Linked DNA regions of Caenorhabditis elegans. The protein of the gene in region 1 purifies or fractionates together with the protein of each later gene. This does not show direct contact. Each region holds a gene or a part of one and is shown on either strand. Other genes may lie near its edges.

The links.
Region 2: the proteins of lap-2 (region 1) and agxt-1 fractionate together in Caenorhabditis elegans (co-fractionation; one large-scale study listed by BioGRID). This does not show direct contact.

Annotation. Positions count from the first base shown.
Region 1 is NC_003283.11:13,041,440-13,047,043, reverse strand, and holds lap-2 (Putative aminopeptidase W07G4.4), read right to left. Parts: upstream 3,333-5,604; 5' UTR 3,316-3,332; coding exon 3,151-3,315; intron 3,100-3,150; coding exon 2,945-3,099; intron 2,614-2,944; coding exon 2,445-2,613; intron 2,387-2,444; coding exon 1,460-2,386; intron 1,301-1,459; coding exon 1,148-1,300; 3' UTR 603-1,147; downstream 1-602. Other genes in the region: scyl-1 (Protein kinase domain-containing protein), read left to right, coding at 5,323-5,442, 5,496-5,604.
Region 2 is NC_003280.10:8,843,591-8,849,649, reverse strand, and holds agxt-1 (Alanine--glyoxylate aminotransferase), read right to left. Parts: upstream 4,053-6,059; 5' UTR 4,011-4,052; intron 3,421-4,010; 5' UTR 3,328-3,420; coding exon 3,271-3,327; intron 2,590-3,270; coding exon 2,431-2,589; intron 2,365-2,430; coding exon 2,286-2,364; intron 2,239-2,285; coding exon 2,130-2,238; intron 2,087-2,129; coding exon 1,888-2,086; intron 1,704-1,887; coding exon 1,576-1,703; intron 1,526-1,575; coding exon 1,430-1,525; intron 1,385-1,429; coding exon 1,126-1,384; intron 1,068-1,125; coding exon 943-1,067; intron 893-942; coding exon 886-892; 3' UTR 748-885; downstream 1-747. Other genes in the region: oac-46 (Acyltransferase 3 domain-containing protein), read left to right, coding at 163-429; F46C5.6 (Serine/threonine-protein phosphatase 4 regulatory subunit 4), read left to right, coding at 5,164-5,211, 5,402-5,547, 5,631-5,837, 5,884-5,945, 6,022-6,059.

The DNA of each region.
Region 1 (5,604 bases):
CGTTGCCGAATGATATAAAGAATACAAAAAGAGAACAAGGTTATAAAGATAAAAAGGACAATCTAAAGTGTAACACCCATTGAGGTGGTCTGACTTGAATAAGAAGAACATGTGAATGGTTTGGGATCTCTGTGTTAAAATTGAAAATTGATAGATAAACCTGTTTTTTGATGGGTGAGGTGATAGGTTCGAAGGTTGGTCGTAAATTTTAAAGTTTTTTTCATTTCTTCTCTTAGGATTTTCATTTTTATATGGCTTGGAATTGATCATATTATAATGTTCAGCTCGATCTGAAGCATAAAGTTTTTTAAGGTGAATTTTATGCCTTTCTTTACTTTTGTTAAAACTGTTTTAAATAATTTTTCAAAATAAACATTTTAAAAGAAACTACCATAAACTTTTTTGCTCATCGAGACCTATCTGAATAACTCTGTGCGCCTTTAAGAAAGTATGCCAAAATCGTTGAAACTATAATGCAATAACTACAAAAAAAATTAAAATTCTCTTGAGAATTCTCGCACAAGTTTTGAAATGTCAACACTTACACACCCTAAAGCTGTAAATATAACAAAATTTTGAATTCTTGAAAAAAATACAAACTCGGAATTTCAGCTATTTATTCAAAGTGGAGCCACTAAACAAGGTCTTGAAAAGTGGTTTTTGACAGTCCATTGACACTTTTGGTTTCAGTTCTTTATCGGCACAAAGATAAGAAACAAAAAAGACAAAGAGCCTATAATAAAACAAGAAGTGGACACACAACTAAAAGTTTGATAAGTTTTTTTCTCTATTTGGATATTTATACTTCTAATCCAGTCTTTTGTTCAGCCGGAACTATTCAGTTGTGCATGTTGTTTGTGATTTTCTGGACAAACGTATTTATTTTACATGTGAGAATGGAGGAAGGATTCCGGGGGCGAATGATAAGAAACAAGCTCTGGTTCCCTGTATAAGGGCTAAATAAAGTTGGGATGCAATTAAAATAAAAGAGAGAGAGAGAGAGATATGATATCATATCTTTTTCAGTATGGAATTGAAAGATACGGTATTGAACTAAATATGTGTGCCTGGCAGAAAACATCGGTGCACAGCACCAAAATGAGTAGGGAGAGCATTAGAAAATGGTTAACGAAAAATCGGGAAATTTCTAAACGTGAGGAAGCACAAGGCCGGCGACAAGGGTGACAAGTGGATTAGGGAAGCTAACTGATGGATGATCTCCTGAACATCCTCCCATGTCGATATGAGAATACTTCAATGGGTGAGAACTGTTTGTGCCATGTTCGTCAATGCGGCTAGCCTGAAAAATTGTTTCAAATTTTATTCCAGAGACAGAAAATTGATCAATGAAATTGTTAGTTTATAATTTAAGGACGAAAATTCATATTTCATATTTTTTGGCTTTCTGAGTAATTTTTAAATTTTACTTAAACGACAAATTTCATAATTGAGAACGTACCATTTGCAAGAATGCAGCTGGCGTCTGATGACCTCTGAGGGTAGCAACTGATGGCTTTGTATTTCCCTGCCGAAGATCAGCCTGTTCACATTCGGCCATATGGAAAGCGAAATCCTCTGGATGAAGTCTGCTGATCTCAATTGGTTGTCCAAATTCATCTCCGACATTCTGCACACGACGAGCCCATCCACTTGCTTTAGCTGGACCATTATCCATAATAGCTGCGTAATATCCGTATGAAAGAACTTCGTGTCCGGTCAATGTGGCAACAGTGAACAAATGCGGATTTTTAGCATTCAAAGCTTCTTCCTTGGCAAGAGTGAGGGGGTCAAGCATTGTAAGTCTTCCTTCAGCATCAGTGTTATAAATGTGAATTCTCTTTCCACTTCTGGAAGTGATAACCTCATCACAAGTATAAGCATGAGATCCAATACTGTTGCGAACCATGCACATGTACCCGACAGCCTTAATGTTCTTTGGTTTCAGAACATCGATAGCCTTGAAGAATCCACCGACAACTGCAGATCCGTACTTGTCACGGCACATTCCGAACATGTGTCCTCCAGTCTTCAAGTCACAGCCTCCAGTATCAATGGTAACTCCCTTTCCAACAACGAAGAATGTATCCTGAGTCTCTCCTTCACCAACATATTCCAATCGAATAAGACGAGCCTGATGCTCCTTGACACAATTGGCGGCTCTATTGACAGCAGCCATCAATGGGAAATCTTTCAAAATGACACTCTGATCGTCGACGACTGTTACTTTAATGTTTCCATTTGCAAATGCACCTTGGATATACTCAGCTACACGTGGTGGAGCCATGCGTTCTGGTCCAGCCTCTCCAACATCACGGCACACTGTGAACGAAGCATCGTAAGCTTCAACAAGCTTTTCCAAACGGGCAGATGTGTCACTGTTTCCGATCTGAAAAAATATATTAATTGAAATTTGTTCTACCAAAACTGAAAATTTCGAAACTTACAGCCAATAATCCCAATTGATTCAACTTCTGCTTGTTCTCCTCTTCACGAACATTGAGTGGAGTGTATACTGGGGTAAGAGCTCCGAGTGCGGCAACAAGTTCGGCATTTGGGAAGCGAGAATTTGGAAGTGTGATGAGAAGTGGAGATTTAACACCAGCAGAAAGAGCCCTGAAAATAGATAATAATTATAAACTGACATCATTAGATATGACAGTTATTCTAGACCAACGTTCAAACCGCACCTATGGTGTTATTCACGGAAATGACGCAGTTCGCCCCCACAATCAGTTATGCTGATCTATGCTTTCCTCCGCACGTTTTCTGATAACTGTCTTCCATAAAGTCTTATCATTTTTTCTCCAAGTACTACGAGAATTAATAAATTAGCGCGCTCTTAGAATTAAAATCATCTAAGCCAATTGTTCTATTATTTGCTTAAACGGTGTAGTCATTTAATTAATACGCTTCAAAATGATGTTGGATGCACATTAGTACTAACATAGAAATTCCCTTCCGAGCAGCAGCCTGGTAACGACGGACATCATCATAGTCACGTGACACATTTCCAGTTCCTGATAGAATCAGTCGTCCAGATGGAACGACAGATGAGTCGACTTGAACGAGAGACGTTGAGTTGAACGCACCAGAGTGTAGCTGAAAAGGAAGATTAGGGTATTATTAGAGATTATTGAGAAAAGGGCGAACCTTTAAGAAATTGTTAACGGCTGGAGCGATTGCGGAGACCTGTTGGATCGCTCCGAACTGTTGAACATTGTCCTGACTTCCGACGAGCACGACAGCATCAAAAGCGGCGTCGGCGATTGATGTCGCGCGGACTATTTTTGTAGATAGGAGGGATTGAAGTGACATTGAAAAGGAAATATACCCTGAAAGCGATATAAATAAAATGAGAAATATGAAGGCGGGAAGAAGGAGGATATATAAGAAATTGAGTTTCAAGGTTTGAAGAGAAGTGGTTATGAAGTTTGTAGGAGCAAAAGAGATGGCAGGCTAGTTCTTTTCGATAAAGCCATAAATAGAAAATACTGCGCTCATTGAACGAAAAGAGTTCAATTCAGTCATGTGCACGCAATTCTGGAATAAAAATCATTAAATGAAAAACGATGTGCGTCTTTAATTAACGCTTATCAGTAGCATATGTTGAAACAAGGAAAAGGAGGGACACATCTGCGATGTCATCTACTCTCTCAGCTGGCTGACTGACAGGCTGATAAACGCCGTCAAGTCGGCTGTCTGCTAATTTGATTTATAATTTATTGCGTGTTTGTACAAGCATGGGAGAGCACTGAAATCACCGGCAGACACTGAAACTTTTGGAGCGACTAGTCGCTATAAATGATAGAAAGTGGGCGGAGATTCGGAGAAAATGAAATTGACGTAGGTTTCCTGATGGCGCCAAATTTCGAGACTTTTCCAGAGGAAATTAGAGAAATATGTGACTTATAATTAGATTTCAAGGAAAACCTGAGCACACGTCATGAAAATAATGATATTAGAACTTATTTAAATAAACGTCGAGGTCGATGTCGAAATTTTTATTTTGCGGAAGAATCAGAGAATGGTCTCACAGTAAAATGATCAGAAATTTGAGCGCAAAAAGATTGCAAAGCATACAAAATTGACAAAAAAACCTATTCTGTAACAATGCGTTCTTTTGTAATTATAGAAACGGATACATTGAATTTTGTTCTTTTGATAGAAACGGAAACAATTAATTTTCGCGAACGTTTCGCAGCAAACATCACATGACAACAAATCGATTTCCATTTTCCGCTTAGAAATCTCGAAAAAAGCAGTATTGGTCGAGTGAGTTTTCGGGCTGTCTATTGATAAACACTGACCCGTTTATACACATTTTAGCGGAAGACTGGTTGACGTTCTGGTCTTTTTCTATAAAATGAGTATGGGAAAAAATTCCGCAAATTTTTTGAATTAGAAATGGGAATATGAAAGTTCGAAACTATAAATTTTCGAGCGCTTTGCATCATTCGACACCATAGGGCATGTTGGTTCAGGCCGGAGGCGATTAGGTCGTCAGTTTTCAGAGAAATGTGTTATCAGGTGTAAGACATACACACAAATATTCACACTTACACGCGGGGCTGTGCAGAACTTGATTTGCGAGCCAAAAAATGTTGTCATCACGGAATTTCCCACCTTTATCGCGTTTTCGAAGGTGTACTATTTTGTGACTGACATTCCAGAAGCATTATTGTGATCAAACGATCAAAAATAGAAGGAATTTAATATATACGAGGAGAAAAATCATTAAAAGATATGGAAAAAAAGGAAAAGTGCTGACTAAATAGTGAGAGCTAAAAAAATTATCGAAGAATTTTGAGCAAGGGTACTGTAGATTTTAAAGGCGCAGATGCGACCAAAGTGATGGGCATCGGCACGAGAAGTACAGTCACTGGTTTTTAAAATTCTTTTGAATCATTTTCGAATATATTTTTCTTTGTCTCTTTCAATGTTTTTCATTAAATACCAGATCATTTCTAGACATTCTGAAAAACTAAATGTAAACTGAAGCTCTAGTAATTTGATAAAACATTATTATGTTTCAGTTCTATCGCATTTCACTATTTTCGGTAAGATTTATATAAATTCATTGAGAAACCAGAGAAACTAGGAAAAACAAAGCCAAAATAAACGAGAATGAGTCTATTCTCATCTTTTAAAGTGAGTGAAAGAGAGACGAGACGCAGAGAAACTGCAATCGATGCGTCAGTAGTGACAATCTTGCCCCTTTTTCTATTAAATGTGTTCAAATTCGATTTCCACGTAACCCGACCGGTTTTCCAGCGTTTCAATTTTACGGAGAGATTATTTTATAAATTTCGATCACTTTTAGGGATGGCATCGGTGTTGTCATCCTTCTTCCAACGGGATCCGAAGTCCCAATTCCCATATGACATTCCTGGAGCAGAAGAACACTTTTTCGATCGAGTTTCGATCGGAAATAGCTTTAAGAAAGTGAGTTTTTGCATTTTTAGCTGTTCAATGAATATTTTCAATAAATATTGTAGGCTGAACCCGGTGAACTCGCAACAATCTTCTGGGACAACCGAAGTTCAACGTTAAAACAACAAGCACAAAAGCTGAAAACCATGCGCCATCCTAACATTATCACTTATT
Region 2 (6,059 bases), on another chromosome or scaffold:
TGAAGAGAAATACTTGGTTATTAGAAAAACCAAATTATTTTACAGTTTATTCAACCTGAAATCTTTCAAATTACAAGTACCACTTTGACAAATGAATGAAAATATGTGCTTCGAAAATTGAAAAGGCAAAATATTGGCTTTATAAAAATAAAATATTTTCAGGCCTACTTGTTCCACATGATTCCAGTGGTACTCACTTACATGCTCGTTCCCTTCCCAATATATTTCAATACTCAAATTCCACTCTTCATTCATTGTTTTGTTCAACTTCTCATTACATATTTCTTTGCCATAATATGCACAATGGTCAGTGAACTTCCAGCTCTGAATATCGAAAGGTTATTGCTTGCCTCTCCACCAAAAACTACACTCAAACCGAGTCCACCAACAGATTCGGAAATTCAATTAAAGCCTTCCGATAAGGCTTAATTTCTAATTGTTTTAATTTTTGACTCAAAAATTCATTTTCATCAGGCACGGGACATTTGAGGTAAATAGTGGGTGATCATTTCCTTGTCAACCCGAATTCATTACGAGTAGTCTCATTCATTTCTTAAATTGTTTCATTTCATTCCGCCATTCACTTTTTCATTTGTTAGCTCCTCTTTCATTTGCTTTACATTTCTTTTAGATTAGTTGAAATTTTTCTGTTCTTCTTTCTTGATGGTCTTTCAGTAATTGATTATTCCCCCGGTCATCGACTGTTTTTCCTTCGCTTCTTCTATTTTTATCATGTAAATAGAAATTCTTGTTTTTTGTTCATTCAAATTAAAACCCATAAAAACATTAAATAAATTTAAAATGTTCATACAAAACGCATACGAAATTACAATAAATCATAAATTAGCATGAAATCACAAATTGATGGATCTACGACTGATGGATCTACTTGCTGAAAATATAAATAATTTGATAAGGAAACGGATCAATTAAATTTTTGACCTTTTCTCTCCAATTGATTTCGACAAAAGTTCCACAACATTTTCGATTTTTGTCGAATTCGAGTTAATTCCAAACGTTCCGATTCTCCAGATTTTACCAACAGTTGCACCAAGTCCTCCAGCAATCTAAAATTAAAACAAGTTACGGTTTTCAAACTTCAAATTGGTGGATTTTCGAATTTACCTCCGTTCCATTTGTCATCATTTTTCCAGCAACATCTTTCCAGTCAACACCCTCCGGTACTTTCACAGTAGTCAAACATGGCAATCTCAATTTCTCATCCACTACAAATGGTTCCAATCCATGCTTTTTCAGAGTAGCATACAACACTTGAGCATTATCTTTATGTCTTTGGATTGATTCATCAATTCCTTCTTTTGCAATTGCAGAAAGTGCTGCACGAAGAGCATATACAGTGGAGATTGGAGCAGTGTGGTGATATCTGAAATTTTTCAATAAATTTCATCATTTCATAGTTTTTTCCAACCTTTTCAATTCTCCATCACAACCCCAATAGTTGCCCAATTCGATGGCATCAAAGTAGAACGAGGCGACGCGTTGTTTTCGGTTCCGGATTTTTTCCCTAAAAATGAAGAGGAATGCAACTATATGTGTTTTGTTTCTTATTCTTACATGGCTCGATCGGAGAATGAGATAGGCGCAAGTCCTGGTGGAGCGTTGAGAACTTTCTGGGTTGCCGAATAGACACAATCAACTTTCAGATCATCTGCTGCAAATGGAGTTCCACCGAGGGACGCCACCTGAAAATGAAAACTTTGATCATTAAACATCTATTTTCAATTTTGAGACTCGTTCGGCAAATTTCAATTTTACTACATTAAAAAACACCTTAAACTTTTCAGAAACAAAACCGTTAATTTTTGAAACATTGTAAGATTTATAAATAAATGGTGAGGATCGAGAAAGTTAAAAAAAACCACAAACCGTATCAACAAGGAACAGAGCACCATGCTCTCTGCAAGCATCTCCAATTGTTTCCAATGGTTGAGCAACTCCCGTTGAACTATCTCCCTGACAGACAAAAACCAAATTTGGTTTGTAATCAGCAATTGCCTTTCTGATATCCTCAACTGGAACTGCTTGCCCCTGCGGAGCAGTAATCTTCTTAACTTCGATTCCCATTCTATCAATTTTTAATTTGTAACAAGAATATTGATTTTAAAAACCTATTAGCCAAATCAGCAGCTCTTTGTCCCCAAAGTCCAATTTCTACTACAAGGAATTTGTCCCCGGGCTCGAGAAGATTAACCATCGCGCATTCCATTCCAGAATGACCTGAATATTAGATTTGATATTGAGAAAGTTGATATATGCACACTAACCAGTTCCACTGACAGCAAACGTATACTTATTGTCGGTTTTGAAGACATACTGAAGACCCAGACGAACATCTGCCATAATCTGAAATTAAAGCTTTATGAATTAGTTTTCGATTTACTATTTTTCCAACAAAACATAAAAAGATACCTGAACAAATTCTGGATGCAAGTGTCCTAACAAATTGCGAGATTGGGTCTCAGCAATCGAATCAGCCATGTTCGATGGTCCTGGTCCAAAAAGTTGCCGCGGTGGGACAACCATATCTTGCAGAAGAGCTTTTGGTGGAGCACGAGACGACATTGATGACTGGAAAAAAAGTAAAATACATAAATACTCGAAGAACATGGTAATCGATTTGGAAGTGATAATTTGAGAATATAATAACTAAAAGGTCGTTCAACACGTGGTTCTCAAAACAAATGTTATTAAAAACAAAACATTAACGAAAAACTGATCTTAAATTTAACTAAAATGTTTTCCATTTCGCAGTACTGACATGGAACTAATATGAAATGCGCTCTATTTGCATGTAGAATGGAGTAGAGACACAGAGAAACCAATTGGTCAAGAGGAGATTGAACGGTGTGTCCAAATGGTCAAGAATTGGTTTGATGTCTAGGGGAGAAGGGTTGAAGGGTCGAATGCCAAACGGCATACTAGATGGTTAGAAATTTTCCATAAATCAAAGTGGGTTTTTTTTTCACCAAATACTGTAAAAATCAAGTACATGATTTTAGAGTTTGAACTCGAAAGACATAATTTTCATGCTGTTAGATAATTTTTTTTAAGGAAAAAACCTTCAAAAACTTTTTTTAATGAACAATGGCATATAAATATAAAATAATTGCAGTAACTAAAAAGATTGTATCAATGAACAGTTTCATCAATGATAACACATATGTTGATGTATGATGACAATAAACTCTCAGAGGCGGTTCCAATTTGTGTACTCAATAAACCTATTATTTTTGAACCAATTGAACTCACCTTAATTCCAAATCCAAAAATCGAGACTGAAGGTCTTAGAAATCGCGTTGAAATCATATCTTCGAAATTAAATCAATTGAGGAAGAATATTGAGGTAGAGAAGAAAACTTGAGGAGGTTGTCCTGCAGGCGGCAAATATCTCTGTGACTCCTCAAAGTACATTGTTCTTTCATTTTCACTGACTGACTGACTGACTGAGGGGCTATTTTATCACAATGTATAAATGACCAGTCGATGGTATAAATGATAACGAGAAGACACCCAGAGATCGGTCAATTTTTAGAGAAGAGTTCAAAGAAACACTTGAAAGTGCACTGGGGAAAACCTCGTGGTTATTTTATAGTTTATGGAAATTGAGTGGAAAACAACACTTTTTTGCAATTTGGTTTGAGCATAATTTTTATGGATAGTTCATTGGCACATTTCCGTTAATCTAGAAAATAACGTTTCAAGATTTAGGAGATCATCCGAAAAAAACTAGTGGAATTTTTTAAATACACAGTTTAAAAATCAGTTAAAATTTTAATAAAGTGCGAACAATAAGCTATAATGGGAACTAAAGTGGTCTAATCAATGACGTGGAATTAGTCAGATGGCTACAAAAAAACATTAAAACATTTTTCAAAATTGTCTACCAAATAATGAAACTAGAAAATTTAAGGACTACCAACTTATCTTACTCAAAACAATACAAATCGAGAAAGATTACCAACTTCAAGAGAGTTTAATTTGAACTTTACCTCGAACAACGAGCAGATCCAGAGAAGTTTAGACTTCGGAATAAATTTTTTTTCTAGTTTCATTTCCATGAAAATAGCATTTCACGTCTACAGAAATTGATACGATGAATAAATTTAGAAATTAATATTTAAAAGTTCATTGGTTTGTGTTAACTTTGGAAAAATAATAAAGCTTTGAGATATTAACTTCTGAACATTTTCAAATTTAGCTTCTACATCTTATTCCTTGAATTTCGCCTAGCTTCGTCTGAAATCTCCTCACATTTTTCTTTACCCAAATCTATAAATGAGTTTTTCAGCCAATTCACTTGTATGCCTGGAGATACCTTGAGAATTCGGAAAGTACTGATTCGTGAAGAACACTTTCCAGATCACACGAGTTTATTGCACATTTTGAAATGTTTTGAACAATTGCACATTTTATTGATAAAAATAAGAAAACTGCTCAGGTTTTTCGAAATCGAGTTGGATTCAATTACAGGTCAACTCAAATTTGTGATGTCTCGTGATCTTTGAAGCTCTCCGGTTTCAGTGTCTGTTTTTGCTGTGAACACTATCTTTCTCTATCTTTTTTTTCTTCAGCTTCATCCTTTGAGCTTTTTCGTCTTCATTTCTTCATCTCCTCCCTCGCTTTTAACTTCTCACACTGGATCACAAGCGTGCCCTTCGATCCCGATCCTCTTGGCCGAATATCTTTACACACCGACTTGATGTCTGCGTCTCACCAATCATTTTGAATGTTTCGAGAGGATAGAGATAGTTGCTCATCGCCCGGGAGTCACAGCTGCCTCTTCCTGCTTCTCCTCCACCTCCTCTACATTCCAAAGCAAAAAGAGTTTGTATTATTGAAGAATCATGTTGTTTCTGCATCATTCTAGATCACTCGTCATATCTAACCACACTTTCAAACTTTCTTGCCCAACGCAAACCATTTTGAAAATGTGTTTCATTTGTTTGCCGAACAAAAATGCATCTAAAGAGCTGCCCCTACCTCTTGATGGATCATGCGAAAAAAAGGCGGGACGTTCAAACTGTTGACTCTTTTCTTTTTTCGTTTATCTTATCTCTCTCTCGTGTTGCTCTTTGTCTCATCTTATTGTAAATTGATTTTCGAAAAATTTCAGATATTCTAATCACATTTTCCAACATTTCAATGGTCGCTGCCACAGAAATGGATGGAGAATCTATAGTTGATATTAAAGTAAGGCATAATTGTAATGATAAAAAACGAGATTTAGAAATTTAAGTTTTTGATTGTGAAAATGAGTAATGAGTAATGAAATTAGGCATTGGAAAATATACTAAATTTTTGCAGTAGTTGCCTACTTAAAACGGCTTTCACACCAAAATTTCTTCAGAAAAGATTTTATAGAATTCGTTTTGTTTTCCAGCATGATCAAATTGAAGATGACGAGACAGAAGAAAAAGAACCTCCTGTAATGAAGTTGGATTTCGAAAAACTATTCAAAATGGCAGAAGATCCAGATCTTGAGGAATTGCTAAGATCACCATTGGATCAGGCTCTAATCAATTTAGAGTAAGATTTATTAATTAAAAAATCAAAATTGATTTTTCGACATTTTGTAAAAAAGGAAATCGTTCATACCATAAAATTTTCAGAGACGGAACTGAAATTCAAAAGCTCACATCAATTCGCACATTTCCTGACATTCTGGACACCTCCGACGGAGAAAAGTGCCTTCTAAAAATGCTACCAGCAATTCAAAAATGTTTGAAAATTGAAAAATCAAACCTAGACCTTCACTGTGAAGCTGCAGTTGTCTATAAGTCAATTATTCAAAATGAGGACCTCGTGAAAAAATTTCAGTGAGTATTAAAACATTCCACTACTTTAAAATAACAAGCTTTCTAGGGGAATCGTTGATCTTCTACTCGAGAATATTCTTCAAAATATTCAAAATCAAAAAGAGCATCGTAAGTATTTTCCAAGTATCGTATGTACATGTTTTTCCACCTTTCCCCTTCTATCCTCTATCCTAACCATTTCCAGACACTCAGGAAAAGGAAAAAATTGTTATAAAAGCTGGC